Sus scrofa: one gene and its partners. The protein of the gene in region 2 interacts with the protein of the main gene of each other region in a biochemical or structural test. Links are inferred from orthologs where the notes say so. Each region holds a gene or a part of one and is shown on either strand. Other genes may lie near its edges.

The links.
Region 1: the proteins of FLNA (region 2) and ITGB1 form a complex in vitro, tested with the Homo sapiens proteins (3 studies listed by BioGRID and IntAct). The link is inferred for Sus scrofa from reciprocal best matches to the Homo sapiens genes FLNA and ITGB1.
Region 3: the proteins of FLNA (region 2) and ASB2 form a complex in vitro, tested with the Homo sapiens proteins (3 studies listed by BioGRID, with this or other methods). The link is inferred for Sus scrofa from reciprocal best matches to the Homo sapiens genes FLNA and ASB2.

The regions. Positions count from the first base shown.
Region 1 is NC_010452.4:56,084,410-56,089,619, forward strand, and holds part of ITGB1 (integrin beta-1), read right to left. Parts: coding exon 5,135-5,210; intron 4,154-5,134; coding exon 3,921-4,153; intron 2,007-3,920; coding exon 1,756-2,006; 3' UTR 698-1,755; coding exon of another isoform or gene 623-697; 3' UTR 1-622.
Region 2 is NC_010461.5:124,899,589-124,904,798, reverse strand, and holds part of FLNA (filamin-A), read right to left. Parts: intron 5,157-5,210; coding exon 5,020-5,156; intron 4,935-5,019; coding exon 4,741-4,934; intron 4,619-4,740; coding exon 4,505-4,618; intron 4,409-4,504; coding exon 4,265-4,408; intron 3,557-4,264; coding exon 3,433-3,556; intron 3,349-3,432; coding exon 3,188-3,348; intron 3,103-3,187; coding exon 3,012-3,102; intron 2,935-3,011; coding exon 2,765-2,934; intron 2,569-2,764; coding exon 2,451-2,568; intron 2,352-2,450; coding exon 2,089-2,351; intron 1,898-2,088; coding exon 1,300-1,897; intron 1,218-1,299; coding exon 1,044-1,217; intron 959-1,043; coding exon 796-958; intron 719-795; coding exon 558-718; intron 461-557; coding exon 290-460; intron 1-289. UniProt on the Homo sapiens protein: Promotes orthogonal branching of actin filaments and links actin filaments to membrane glycoproteins. Anchors various transmembrane proteins to the actin cytoskeleton and serves as a scaffold for a wide range of cytoplasmic signaling proteins.
Region 3 is NC_010449.5:115,226,762-115,231,971, forward strand, and holds part of ASB2 (ankyrin repeat and SOCS box protein 2), read right to left. Parts: intron 4,600-5,210; coding exon 4,444-4,599; intron 1,666-4,443; coding exon 1,420-1,665; intron 1-1,419. UniProt on the Homo sapiens protein: Substrate-recognition component of a SCF-like ECS (Elongin-Cullin-SOCS-box protein) E3 ubiquitin-protein ligase complex which mediates the ubiquitination and subsequent proteasomal degradation of target proteins.

The DNA.
Region 1 (5,210 bases), on a different chromosome or scaffold from region 2:
TTTAAGTTACAATCAAGGACTAAAGCTTTTAAAAATATTTCTAGAACCAATTCAACCAAATACAATGATATTGTAGTTAAAGATTACATAAATGTTATGACAGGTTTTATTTATTCTCCTATTTTAAAGCTGGGATTTCACATTCACTTTTCACTTTTTCACCCTAAAACTTACATATAATGATTTGTTATATAAGAATAACACCACCACCCAAGGCAAAGGACTGCAGTGAGGATTATAACTGACAGGCTGCCACTCATTTATCATTAGCCAAAAACAACCACACTGCACATCATTACTGACCCCTGTTAAGGCTCTGCCAAGTGAAGGGACTCAGCGCCATCCTACTTACTAAGTGTAGGAGCTGGGACTCCACCCAGGTCTGATCACAAAGCGCATTCTCTTTTCACTACAACAAAGCTGCTGCTTCTACACCATAAAGCAAGCTTAATTCAAAGCCCTTCAAAACACTTATTCTAATTAACACAAAAAAGAAAAGCCATAGTATAGCCATATAAAGCCAGACTAAAAAAAAGCAAAAGTGATAAATGACACACAGTGCAGTAAAAAGGGTAAATTTCACATGCAAAGACAGAAAATCAAAGAAAATACGAACGGCAACTTAGAGACCAGCTTTACGTCCATAGTTTGGATTCTTGAAATTATTAATAGGACTCTTGTAAATCGGATTTTCTTGCTAAAGTGAAAGAAATAGTTTCTAATGATTTCATCAGAAAAAAATGACATACATAGTGATTAAACACTTTAAGAGAGAAATTTTACTATTTTTACACTTCCTGGAATTCATCACTTTTTTTAAAAACCCAAGCAAGTGGTAGGAAAATGCAAATGACTAAGGTTCATTTACAATTTAAAACCCTGAAGACTGTCACTGCTTTCTTCTACCAAAAGATGAAATCATAGGGCCAACCTCGGCCGCCCCACCCTGTCACCCCTACTTCAAAGCCCTAAATGCTCGCATAAACTTGCATCACTTACAGCTTTTAAATTTTGTATAAAGCAAGGGTTATCGGGTTGTAATTTGCAGAGTAAAAATACCCTGAACTACACAGGTCCATGAATTCTCAAATGTAAAAACACACCCACAGTGGAGACCATCCCTAGATCCCCAACTCCAGGCCTTAGAAACCACTGATCTCATCTCTGCCCCTATAGTTGTGCCTCTTCAACACTCATATAAATCGTACAGCAGCCCTTTGAGTCTGGCTGCTTTCCATTCAAGGTTCTTTGTTGAAAAAATAAAGAAAGCAAGAAGAAACCTTCTATTGCTACACATATAACATTATTGAGGATTATATCTTTCATAAGAAAAGTCAGAAGTTCAGATTTAAGATCAAAACTATTACAGAAATAGGAGTTCCCGTGGTGGCGCAGATGAAAAGAATCCAACTAGGAACGATGAGGTTGTGGGTTTGATCCCTGTCCTCACTCGGTGGGTTAAGGATCTGGCGTTGCCGTGAACTGTGTTGTAGGTTGCAGATGCGGCTCGGATCTGGTGTTGCTGTGGCTCTGGCCGGTGGCTACAGCTCCAATTATACCCCCAGCCTGGGAACCTCCACATGTTGCAGGTGTGGCCCTAAAAAAGAAAAAAGACAAAACTATTATAGAAATAAAAATATTAACCATAGTAACCAGAATAAACATTGTTTTGTTTTAATGTGACGTTATTTAGGGTGTTTTCTGGTTTTGGCTAAATGCAAATTTTCTGAGTAAAGTCTTGGGGGAATAAAATATTTAAAGGACTTTAATAATCAGCTTGAGAATTACTAAACATGTCTTAGAAGAGTTATATTCCTTTTTAGATGTCTTCCAACTCACCGTGTCCCATTTGGCATTCATTTTTTCCTTTTCAAATTTGGCAAATTCCCTTCTGTCGTGAATAATCATTAAAAGCTTCCAAATGAGCAGCAGTGCAAGGCCAATGAGAACAATTCCAGCAACCACACCAGCTACAATTGGAATAATGTCTGGACCAGTGGGACACTCTGTAAAATAAGCAGCAGACGATGAGCACACAAGGGGTTGGTATGTGTGAAGTACAGCCCACATTACAGAGAGCTGAAGAGTCTCATAAAAAACACTAAGGAATTAAAATCCAAGATAAGTCAATGGACACTATCCCACAGAATCTATAAAAAAGACACTAAAAGTTCACAGATGAGTTCACAAGACAACAGGAGACATGACCAATAAAGAAAAGTCCTATGTATTTTATAACAGAAACTGATTTCTTTATATCAGAAATTGAAAATGAGAAAACAGTATTTTCTACAATAGCATCAAAATCATGAAATACCAATGTAAAATTCTAACAAAAAATGTGTAAGATTTACATGCTGAAAATTACTAAACACTGATGAAAGAGATCGAAGGCCTGAATAAATGGGGAGAGATTCCATGTTCTATATTAGAAGATTCAATATTGTTAAGATGTCACTTCTCCCCCAATGTGATCTATAAACTCAATGCTATCCCAATCAAAATCCTGGCAGGATGTGTACAGATGTCAAGCAAGTTAATTCTAAAATTCACAAAGGAGGAGGAGAACTAGAAAAGTCTTTTAAAAACACTTTTGGAAAAGAACAAAGTTGGATAACTCACATTACCAAATTTCACAACTGGATTTGAAGCAACAGTAATTTAAATCGTGTTGTATTGACTCTAAGACAGATGCATGGATTAACGGAACAGAATCATGAGTCAGAAACAGGCCCACACATACAAGGTCATCTGATTTTCAACCACAGTAGAGAAGGGTCAATCTTTTCAAGAAATGGTGTAAGAATGACCAGCTATCCATGCACAAAAAAACTGAACATCACCCCATATGCCAAGCAAGATCAGCTCAAATAAACCAGAAACCATAAAACTTTTAGGAGAAAACAAAGGAAAAAATCCTTATGAACTTGAAATACACCAAGAGGTCTTAGTTAAAAAAGCAGAATCTAAAAAAGAAAAACTTGGCAAATGTGATTCGTCAAAATTTAAGCTTCAGATATTCAAAAAAACACTTAAGACAATGAAAAGAAGGATGCATAGACCAGAAGACAATATTTGCAAAATATCTGAAAATGCAAAATACAGACTTTAAAAGTTTGGCTCTTTCTTCCAAAGTTAAATATATGTCCCCAAAATCCATTCTGAATATTTATCCAAGAGAAATTAAAACTTATATTCCCATAAAAACCTGAACACAAATGTAGAAAATTGCAAAGAATATTTAAAAATCATCTGGAAAAACAAGATAAAAAATGTTTCATCTTCTGAGAAGCTGAACAAAGCCATGCTCTATAATATCCTGTGACAAAATAAGTTTCCCAGTGTCCCCTTCTAAATCAAGTATATTTAAATATCATTCATAGGAGTTCCCCATTGTGGCTCAGCAGGTTATGAACCCAACTAGCATCCATGAGGACGAGGGTTCAATCCTTGGCCTCTCTCAGTGGGTTAAGGATCCTGGGTTGCTGTGAGCTATGGTGTAGGTCACAGACACAGCTGGGATCCAGTGTTGCTGTGGCTGTTGGGTAGGCTGGCAACTGCAGCTCCAATTCGACCCCTAGCTTGGGAACCTCCATATGCCACGGGTGCAGCCCTAAAAAATATACATATACATATATCACTCACAGTGACTTGACTCTTACTGAGTCGGCCCCGTGCCGTCCGGCCCTGTGCTGAGAGCTCTGTGTGGACTGCTGATATACTCTTTAATCTCTCTAATCATAAAACTTAAAATTTGCTCTTTCCCTTATTTCTTATGTAGTTAATACTATTTTAGCTTTAAGAGATTAGAAATGTCCCAAATAAACCTAAAATAGTCCAGCTCAAAGCTTTTCCTAGATACAAGGGAAACTGCCAATTGCCCTAAGCAGTAAAAAGACATAAATGAAAATGACTTTTACCTGGAGTCTCTACAACATGAACAGTGGCCTCATTGTTCCCATTCACCGAGTATGTGAAGTAGAACCAGCAATCATCAACGTCCTTCTCCTTACAATGGGACAAGGGATCGACCTGGCCTGGCTGGGGCAATTTGTCCCGATTTTCAACCTTGGTAATGTTGAAATGTGAACATTCCTGGGCACATGTATCTTTCTTTTCTCCTTTATTGAAGGCTCGGCACTGAACACATTCTCTGTTAAAACATACATCATTATATTTCTTATTTAAAATATTTGCTTAAAGATTACTTTTCCTGTGCTAAACTCAAAATAGGAACAAATTAAACCAAGAGCTACGACAGAAGATTTGAATAAATGAAGAAACACACAAATTCTAGTAAAAAACTAAACATAAAGATGCTAATTTCATAAAGAACAAGGTCCACGGAGTTCCCGTTGTGGCTCCCTGGCCCCGCTCGGTGGGTTAAGGACCGGGTACCGCCGTGAGCTGTAGTGTAGATCACAGACATGGCTTGGATCTGGTGCTGTGGCTGTGATGCAGGCTGGCAGCTGCAGCTCTGATGAGACCCCTAGCCAGGGAACTTCCTTATGCCCCAAGTGCGGGACTAAGACAAAAAAAAAAAAAAAAAAAAGAAAAGAACCAGTCCGAGAGTACAGCACAGGAAACTATATCCATTCTCCTGGGATAGACCGTGATGGATGAGAATATAAAAAAAGAATGCATGTATAACTGAGTCACTTTGCTGTACAGCAGAAACTGGCACATTATAAATCAACTATACTGTAATTAAAAAAAAAGTTTAAAGATGCAAATTTCCCAGGTGAAATTATAGATAACGCAAACCAAAATCCTCCAAAAGAAATGAGTACTAAAATAAAACTAGCCCTATCAGATATTAAATATACAATATAAAACCAAAGTAATTTTTTAAATGTGTTGCTGATGGAATAGGTCTTTTTTCAAAGACAAAACCTTCAATTGTGCTTAGTCTGATCCAAAGATAAGCAAGTGGTGTTGCTAATTTAACAAAGGTTACCACATGGACTCAACTACATAGTAAATTCAGATTGAAAGAATGCTGCCACCACTCTCATACGGCATACTTCAATATCATGTAACAAACACCAGCTATTAAGATTTAAAAGTCTTAAATAACTACACAGTTAGGCCAACGGACAGTATCACCTACTTCAAGCAATCAGGAAATACTTACTTATGCTCAGCACAGACTCCGAGGCAGGTCTGACACATCTCACAAGTTGGCCCTTGGAACTTGGGATCTGTACACT
Region 2 (5,210 bases):
CCCTAGCCCCGGCCTAGAGCTTGCCTTGCCTTCCCCGCTGGTCCCCAGGGACGGCCCTGAGCCCCCCGGGGACACCAGGCACGAATCTGGATGCCATCTTGGACCCTCGGCCTCTGTCCCTCCCTCCTGCCACTCCCGCTCCGTGGCCAGGGGCTGCCTGTTCTACCCCGTTTTGGTCCCCTGCCCCTGGGCCCTGGCTCTGGCGTCACCTGAGGCTCCCCTCTCCATCACCGGCCCAGGCCCGCGCCCTCCTGACCTGACCCCTATTCCCAGGCGCGGGGAGGCTCACCTTTGGGCCCCTGCACTTTGACCTGCAGGGGGGCCACGCCAGCCTTGCTCGTGTCCACCTGGAAGGACTGAGGGAGGTTGGCGCGGACCATGCCAGGGCTCAGGCCCGGCCCCGAGCACTTGACCTTGGACGCATCTGTCACATCATGCACAGGGACCTTGAAAGGACTGCCTGGCGGGGGGGCAAGAGGGGTGGCAGCAGCCGTGTGAGACAGAGCGCAGGGCGAGCAGGTGGTGCCCGCCCAGGCCCAGCCGACCCGCGTCCTCACCTGGGACTTGGTGGCCGCCATAGGTGACGTTGAGACTGTAGGTGCCGGCCTCGTAGGGGATGTACTCGACCGAGCAGCTGCCGTCCTTATTGTCCATGCAGGACATCTTGGCCTCCGAGGGGCCCTCCACGGCCAGGCCCAGGCCCCCCGTGCCAGCTCCCCTGTCCAAGCAGACAGCTCGTCACAACCTGGGGGGCCAGGGCCGCCCCAGCCCCTGCCCTCCGGGGCTCTCGCTCACCTGGTCTCCACGGTGAACTTGTTGGGCTTGTTGGTGGTGCCGCTCTGCAGGCCCGGCCCGTGCACGCGCACTCGGGTCGGGTCACAGCCCTCCGTCACGGGTACCTGGAAGGGGCTGCTGGGCACGGGGCTGCCGTCGTAGGTCACGTCCACGGAGTGCAGCCCTGCGGGAGGGCAGAGGCGGTGTCAGGAAGAGCCCGGGCTCCCCGGCCCCCGGGCCACCCCGCTCGCACGCACGCACGCACGCACCCTCCTCGTAGGGCGTGTACTCCACTTTGTAGGTGCCGTCGCCGCGGTCCTGCACGTAGGTCTCGGTCAGGTTGCCAGAGGGGTTGGCCACGCGGGCCTTGACGTGCGGCCCTCCGGTCTGCGTCAGGGCCCGGGCATCCACGCTGAACTCCGTGGTGGCTTCTCGGAAGACGCCTGCAAGGGAGGTGTGGAGAGGAGGCGTGGGCTCCAGCGCCCTGGCCGCCCCCATGCCCAGGTCCCGCCGTGCGCCTCTCACCTTGGCCCTCGACCCCGGGCCCATAGCACTGGACGCCCGAGGTGTCCACCGCGGGCTCCACCTGCAGCTTGCTGGGGAAGTTGGGCACAGGTTGGCCACCGTACTTGATGGTGACCGTGTAGGCCCCGGGGCAAAGCGGGATGTAGGTGATGGTGTGCGTGCCGTCGCCGTGATCCTGGATGTGCACCTCGGCGGGCAGCCCCGCCTCGGAGCGGATCTCGATGGTCAGCTCGGCGCTGCCTGCGCTCGAGCAGTCCACGTGGAACTGGCCTGCCTCGCCGGCCGTGGCCCTCTCCAGCCCGGGGCCTGAGCACTTGACCTTGGATGCATCAAAGCAGGGAACCACGTGGGCCTTGAACGGGGAGCCGGGGATGTGAGTGTCAGCGAAGAGGATGTTGATGTTGTAGTCCCCGGGCTCGGTGGGCACGTAGGACACAGAGCACGTGCCGTCCCCGTTGTCCAGGCACTCGAGCTGGGCCTCGCAGGGGCCCTCGACCGTCAGGCCCAGGCCGCCCACGCCGGCACCCTTGGTGTCGATGGTGAAGCGGGCAGGGGAGCCTGCGCTGCCCCCTTGCAGCCCTGGCCCGAAGGCCTTCACCTGCAGGCGGAGGGGCAGGTCAGGCGCCGAAGCCACGCTACCTCCCTGGCCCCAGCCCCGGCCCGGAAGCCCTCAGCCCGACCTGCCATCTGCCGCCGCTGCGGGCCTCCCTCCCCCAGCAGACAGGGCGCAAAGATGAGAAAGGGTGAGGGCGAGTCTGGAGAAGGGGGGCCGCCCCACACCCCAGTTACCTTGCTCGGCTTGGTGGGGGGCACGGCTTCCAGGGGAAAGGGGCTGCCGGGCACAGGCACGCCGTCATAGGTCACCTCGACCTCGTAGGGCCCCTCCTCGCGGGGCACAAAGCGCACCACGCTGTTGTCAGCCCCCAGGCCCGGCTCCACCTTGCAGGGCACCACAGCCCCTGAAGGGCCCACAATCTTGGACACCACTTTGCCCTGGCCGCCTGCACCCTTCGACTTGACCGTGAACTCCTGGTCTTTGCCAACATCCACCTCTGTGGAGATGAGGAAAGGAAGGCGAGAACTGTGACAGCGGCCCAGGCAGCCCTGCGGCACTCTCGGGGACGGTGACGAGGCCCCGGCCAGCTACTTACTCTCTCCCAGGCCGGACACCTTGATCTTGCTCAGGTCCAGGCTTGGAGACACCCCCACTGAAAAGGGGCTCTTGGGGATAGGGTCCCCGCCATAAGTGACATTGATGCCCACTGGGCCCTGGGAGGAGTACAGAAGGGCAGGGTCACGGGTCATGACCTTGGTGTCCCTGGCCCGCTGCTTCCCACCTTGGGCATGGCGTTGGGGGTAGGGGTGGTGGATGCTCCACTGCCCCCTGCGGTTCTGGGGCCACTCTCTCCCCTGGGGGAAACGCGAGTGGGTGGGAAGCCCCCACGCGCGGGGGCCAGGCAGCTACCTGCTGCAAAGGCGTGTACTTGACGGTGTAAGTGTTGTCGTGGTGGTCGATGACATCCACGTCGCGCACCGCGTCCCCCTTCGCCGGCCCCGAAAACTGGACATCCAGTTTGCCTTTGCCGGCAGCTTTGGCGTTGACCGTGAAGTGGGTGGGTTTGCCGAGCTCGACACCTGATGAGACACGGCGATGCTGTAGGGTCACGTGGCCCCATGCCCTCCCCCGACCCCCACAGGGGACCTGTGCTCACCCGTGCGACTGAGGCCAGGGCCCTCGGCCTTCACTTTGCTGGCATCGTGGGAGGGCTCCACCTTGACCCGGATGGGGCTGGTGGGCGTGGCCTGCAGAGGGCGGGAAGAGAAGGGCTGAGAAGAGAGCAGCAGCCAATACCCAGCAGCGTGAGGGGCCGGGAGCAGTAGCACCCACCTGGTCAGCAAAGAGGACCATGATGGTGTAGCTGCCAGCACCCCGCGGCGTGTACTTGACTGTGAAGGTGTCATTGTCGTTGCGGATGATGTCGAAGTCGATGTCAGCCTCGGTGGGGCCCACCACGCCAGGGGCACACTTGATGCCGATGCTGACGTCACCTGTGGTGGCAGAAGGCATGGAGGCTGGGACCCCATGCGGACGCCTCGCCGCCTCGCCCGCCTACTCTCGAGGCAGCGACTTACCCTGGCCGGCCTCTGTGCAGTCCACAGTGAAGTATGTGGGCTCGTGAGCCTTGAGCCCCGTCTTGGCCACGCCCGGGCCGTACACCTTGACCTTGTTTGGATGGCTGCCAGCTCCCACGTTCACCTGCGGGGCACAGGGGCGAGTGCGGGGCGTGACCGGCCTGGAGGAGAGGCGGGGCGGGGGGGGGGTCGGCCCACCGGGAAGTCCTCTGGCGGTTCCTCAAACAATGAACCACAAAGTGACCGGACGGCGCTGCGATTCCACGCCTAGGCCGGTATCTGTCCACCCAGGGAGATGAGATCTCTGCACTGGAATGTTCAGAGCGGCAGTGTACGCGACAGCCGAAAGGTACAAAAACCCCCAAAGGTCCATCAACAGACGACTGGATAAATAACGGAACGTCCAGCTGTGAAACGGCGGGGAGCACTGGCCCGGGCCGCGGTGTGGACAAGCCGTGATAAAACGCACTGCTGGGTGAAAGTGGCCAGACCCCAAAGACCACAGGGCGGACGAGTCCACCTCCAGTTCATGTCCACAAGAGGTCAGCCCGCCGGGCCGCAGAGCAGAGCGGGGGCTGCCGAGGGCTGCGGGCAGGGCCCCTGAGGGGAGAGGAGCTCCTCTGGGGGCTGGTGCAAACGTCCCAAGCTTTGCTCGCTCGGTTGTGCTGATGACTGCACAGCTCTGACCTGACTCAACCCCCTCCAACTGCACACACGAAAGGGTGAGCTGCGTGCTGTTCGAGTTTTAGCAGCTAGAGCTGTGGAAAAACGAATCTGGCGCCCCAGGGAAGGGGGCTAAAGGCCTGTCAGGCCTGCGGGGGGGCAGGCTCACCCGGAAGGGGCTGTTGGGGATGCTGACGCCTCCCCAGGACACCATGGCCGTGTGCTTCACTGGCTTCCGGGGCACGTAGGAGCAGCTGTAAGTGCCGTTGCCGTTGTCCTTGACCGAGGCCTCCACGGGGCAGCCCTCATTGTCCTGCAAAGTGGGCCGGAGCAGGGGGCCTCCTGGTCAGTGCCTGGGTCCAGGCCCCTGCCCGCCTGGGCCCCCTCCGCGGGTGGGCGGGCCCCCCACCTGGACTTGGACCCTGAGAGGAGCCTTCCCGCCGTGCTTGGCGTCCACCGTGAACTCGGCGGGCTTGTTGACGGCCACGCCCGTCTTCTCCAAGCCGGGCCCGCGTGCCTTCACCTGACAAGAGACCACGCAAGGCTCAGGGGCCAGGTGTCAATGCCAGAGACGGCGCGGCAGGAGCCCTACCAGCCATCAGGGGCACCAGCCTAGCCTCCCGGCCGGCGGCACACACCCCCTACCCTGTCGGGATGGAAGTCGGGGGGCGCCTCGCGGATGTCGGCCATGAAGGGGCTGAGGCGGATGTCCTCGCTGTTGCACAGCACGTGCACCGCGTACTCGCCGGCCTCCTGCGGCCAGTAGCGCACGTCGCAGGAGCCGTCGCCCTTGTCGTCACACTCGATCTTGGCCTGCGACGGGCCCTCCACCGAGAAGCCTGCCGACAGCCGCCAGCTCCGTCAGCACCCTGGAGCCTCGGCGGGGCGGCCCTCGCCACGCTCTGCCCCCAGCTGCCAACTCACCCAGGGTGCCGACATCGTCCCCGATGGCCTCCACCACGAAGTCGGCCGACTTGCCAACGACGCCACCCTCCAGCCCGGGGCCCCAGGCCCGCACCTTCTGATTGCCACACTCGGTGCCCACCTTCACCTCAAAGGGGCTGCAAGGAGAGAGCCACGCAGGGGAGTGCCCAGCGCCCACGGCGAGCCCGGCA
Region 3 (5,210 bases), on a different chromosome or scaffold from region 2:
CTGGTCAGTCCAGATTTGTCCCCAGAGGCAAGGAAGTGCCTTGACTCTGTTTATCTAAGGGCTCAGGCACGTGCTGAGTAAGTGGCTGCTTCTCCAGGTCAAGTCCCATGATGGAAATTGCGAAGAGTGTGCGGTCTGATGTTCAATGCAGAGTCAGAATCCAGGCTCTGACTGTGAGCAGTCAATTAACCTCTCTGACCGTCAGTCTCCTCATCTAAGAAATGGCATGAGAACACTCTGTACCTCGTAGGGCTGTGGAGAAAACCACTGGCCTATTCTGTTCATGCTTAGCGCAGTGCCTGGCACACAGTGGGTCCTCAACCGATTATTCCAGCTCAGCCCCAGGGTCTGGCTTACCTCTGGATTCTCTGTTGCTAGAGTGGAAGGGTCACTTCCCATAGAGGGAGAAAAGAAACCAAAAGTACTCTTGGGGGAGATCGAATTTACTGCTTTATAACCAAAAGAACGCCGGCCATGGTCGCAGGGTCTTCCCTTACTGGGACATGATAACTCAGGCAACATTATTTTGTGTTGTCCCATTAAGTGAACTGAGAGTTTTCTGAGGCAAAGGTGCAAAGACCAGGGTTCAAATCCCAGGTCTGCTGTGAATTTACTGTGTGACCTTGGACAGATTCCTTTCCCATTCTGGTCCTTGGGTTCATCACCTATAAAATGAGGAGCTGAAGGAATTCCCTTCATGGCTCAGCGGTTAACAAACTCGACTAGCATCCATGACGATGCAGGTTCGATCCCTGGCCTTGCTCAGTGGGTTAAGGATCTGGCACGCCATGAGCTGTGGGGTAGGTCGCAGACATGGCTCAGATCCCACATTGTCTGGCTGTGGTGTAGGCTGATAGCTGTAGCTCTGATTTGACCCCTAGCCTGGGAACTTCCATATGCCACGGGTACGACCTTAAAAAGCAAAAAAATAAAAAATAAAGGAGGAGGTGACCTAAACGTTGTCTCAATTTCCTTCTGGCCCTAAAATGTGACATGATGCAAAGAGAAGATGGGGTGTCTGGAGATTAAGAGTCTGGGCTGGTCGTACTGCTAATTCGGTACGTGACTGCAGAGAGATAAGTTACTTCCTCTTGCTGGGCCTCCGATTCCTCATTTGTAAAATAAGGATGTTGGGCTAGCTTAGCGAGGCTACGATGCAGCACGTGTGCCGCTCCCCTCCAAGTCTGTGCCTCATGGCAGGCATCACTAGTGGATCTCAACACAATTCTGGCTGAGCCTAAACACAGCCTCAGAATCCTTCTCAACACAGTCTTCCCAGAAGATATATGCATATATCACTCAATCAGAGGCTGGCTATAAGATGACACCAAAACCTGCTTTTCCTTAGACTTGATCTCTGGGGTCCTTCCCGGCTATGCCCCTTGGCAACTCCACGACCCAGGGACCCTTGGCACTCACCGTGTTTGGCCAGGAACCTCAGTGCCTCCAGCTGCCCACTCTGGGCAGCCACGAACAAGGGGGTGATGCCATAGGCATTCTTGGATTCCACCTTGGCACCTCCGCTCACCAGGATCTCCATGACCTCCAGGTCATTGCGAGCAACAGACTCGTGCAGAGCTGTCCAGCCTCGGTTACAGCGGTGGTTGGTGTCCGCGTTGTACTGCACCAGAATCCTCACGGCCTCCACGTTTTTGCGCTCACAGGCTGTGCCCAGGGAGAAGCAAGACAGTCAGCAGGGCTCCTGGCAGGACCCGGCCGCCCAAGACTTCATTCACCTGTTCCATTATCAGCCATTCACTCAACAAATATCCCCCGGTCTGTACAAAGTTCTGGTCCCTGCCTTAAACCTAGGATACACAACTAAAAGTAATAGTAATATTTGCTGATGTGCATACAACACTGGTCATGTGCTGGACACGCTATTCAAAGCACTTACATGATGAACTAATTTAGTTCTCCCAACCACCCTTAAAGGATATAGTGTTATCCCCTTTTACAGATGAGGAAAGTGAGGCACAGAGAAGTTAAGTGACCTGTCCAAAGTCACACAGACAGTAAGTGGCAGAACTAGGATTCAAATCCACGTAGTCAGGTCTGGAGTTCCTGTCTCTGGAAGGTTCTAGAATGCCCCAACTGGCCTCCCTTTCCAGTGTTACCTGCTTCAGTTCTCCGTGTCGCCAAGGACAGAAGAGGAGGAGAATGTCAAATTCCTGCTCAGAACACTTCCTCAAAGGCTACTCACTTAGTTTGGGCTAAAATTTTTTTTTTTTTTTTTTTGTTGTTGTTGCTATTTTTGGCACTCAGCGGCATATGAGTTCCAGGCTAGGGTTGATCGAGCTATAACACCGGCTCTCCAGAGCACAGCAACGCGGATCGAGCGCGTCTGCAACTACGCCCAGCTCACGCCGGACGTCCACTGAGCCAACCGCCTCATGTTCTTCGTTAACCTGCCCACGAACTCTGTTTCTATCTTCTGAGTATAGCTCAAGTCTTTCTCAACCTGCTCAAACCTCCTTTTTTGAATTAAAAAAATTTTTTTTATTTTTAGGGCCGCACCTGCAGCGTACAAAAGTTCCATGGCTAGGGGTCGAATCAGAGCTGCAGTTGTTGGCCTATACCACAGCCGCAGCAACACAGGATCAAGCCACGTCTTTGACCTACACCACAGTTCACGGCAATGCCGGATCCTTAACCCACTGAGCGAGGCCAGGGATGGAACCCACAACCTTATAGTTACTAGTTGGGTTTGTTACTGCTGAGCCATGACAGGAACTCCCTCAAAGCTCCCTTGTAAGCTCTAGCTCTCTCTAGACCCTACTGCAGCCTTAATGCTTGCAGAACTATTATCAGGGAGGAGCACTTGTTCAAATTAACCACTTCTAGAAGCTTCTCCCACTGAGTCAGGGGGTAGCGAAAAGTGGGGGGGAAACGCCTGTGTAGTGGTATTTTTCCTTTTGTTGTGTGTGTGTGTGTGTGTGTGTGTGTGTGTGTGCTTTTTAAGGCTGCACCTGCGGCATATGGAAGTTCCTGGGCTAGGGTTTGCATGCCAGGCTGCAGCTGCTGGCCTACACCACAGTCACAGCAACACCAGGTCCAAGCCACATCTGCAACCTACACCACAGCTCATGGCAATGCCAGAACCCTGACCCACTGAGCGAGGCCAGAGATCGAACCTGCATCCTCGTGGATACTAGTCGGATTTGTTTCCTCTGTGCCACAGTGGGAACTCCACCTGTGCAATGTTTCAAACAGGACCCCAGGCGAAGGTCCCCCCCTCTCTGAGCCCTGCTTTCCTCGCCCATAAAGCACAGATAACAAAACCATCCCACGAGGATGCTGTAGGGTGCGGGGTGAGGCAGTGTACCAAGGCTCTAGCGTGGAGCTTGGCACAGGGTGGAGCTCGTGCAAGACCAGGGCCCGGGCCTGCGAGTCACCCAGCATCCTGGGAGCTCCCTCTGGGACAGCTGAGGCTCCAGGAGATGGCTCTGGTGCCCAGTGGACACGAGTTCTAGGGAAGACACTTCCACTGCGGGTCTGCCATGGACCTGGTTCCTGCTGCCTATGGAATGTTCCAGGTGCTGGATACCAGACACCTGGGAGTTTGCGAATTTCTGTGGTTTTTCAATGTGCGAAGACCCTCTCATTGTCACAAGACCCATGACTGCTTAAGCATGTAGGCATGAATGACGCTTGATGGCGTGGTGGGTCATAGTGCCATGCTGGCATCCGACTCCTGGAGTTTCGATACTAGGTCTGCCCCTTGCCGACTGTGTCTTCCTGGATGCCTGGGGGCCTTATCTGTAAAATGGGGCTACCAGCAGGGCCTGCCTCATATGTGGATGGACGGGAGGGTTAGAGGAAAGGACAGAGCCTGACACACAGTAAGCACACAATAAATGCCAGCTGTTATGATTATTCAGATTTTGACTCTGGGCATTGCTAGGGCAGCCAGTGAATGTCCTTGGATGATGTTTTGAGTAAACCAGGAGTTTTTTCTTTTGTCAAATATTCTAGAGGGACACTTTCCCTTTCAAGCCTCTTTGCCTTTGCCTATGCTGTTCCCCCTGCTTGTCCAGGGGGTAAATTCCTCCTGTTCAGGCTCAGCTTTGGGACCCCCTCCTGCGGGGGCCCTCCCCCATTCTCCCAGGTATCTGGTGCCAAGTTTCTCAATGCCAGTAGTTGACTGTTACATTGGCTGTGAATTGATGCCCACCGGGCTGGAAGAGCACATGGGCACAGGCCACATCTTTGCATCTCTGAGTCCTCAGCATGCCTGGCCCATGGGAGGACTTGGGACATGTTGAGTGTATCCGTGCATGAATGAATGTTTCAGATATATAAGTTATACATCTGAACGAGGCTGCCCGGTCACATTAGGTTCCCCGGGGCGGGGCGGGGTGTTATACACTTTGCAAGCAATTCTCCTGATTGCCCAGCTAGCTTCTGGACCCTTCCTGGGGAAGCCCACCCTCACGGGCTCACCTTTGTAGAGCGGTGTCTCACGGGACTTGTTGGAGATGTCAGGCTCGGCCCCAGCCTGGAGCAGGGATTGGAGGCAGTCCAGGTGTCCTCTGCATGTCGCTAGGTAAAGGGCCGTTTCCTCCTGCAGGGTGCGCTGGTCAATGACGGCTGGGTATGCTGGGCAGGACGGACCAGGAAACTCATAAAGAGGAAGACACCCACCCCCACCCCCAACACAGAGGTGGTCCCGATTTCCTCCCAATCCCAAGGACAGATATGCCTGGCATCTCCCTGAATTTTCCATCCAGACTGCCTTCATTCTCTTGGCCCTGGATTCAGCCACTTTCACAGGGCTGTGGCAGCTTCCCGGTCATATTAATCCAGCTCAGATGCCACCTCCTCTGGGAAGCCTTCCCTGGTTGAACTCCTTCTTTCTCTGAATGACCCTGTCCTACCCTTACACTCCCAGCCGCCACTACCAGAAGCTTGGCTCATGCATCTGTTCCTGCCCTGGAGGGCGGTGGGCTGCCTGGGCTCCGTGCCTCCTGAGGGCCTGCAGGTGTTTCCATTCACATGGGGCCTGGGGGAAAGGCGAGGCTCAGAGAGGAGCCATGATTTGCCCAGGGTGGCGAGGCTCAGAGAGGGGCCATGATTTGCCCAGGGTCTCACAGCTGTTGGAGGCAGCCCTGGCAGGGCACAGGCACAGCTGCAGCATTTTCCACACCAGATCAGTCCCTGAAACATTCTGGAACAAGCTGGCAGTGGCTCTCCCCAAAGGCAACCCTCCC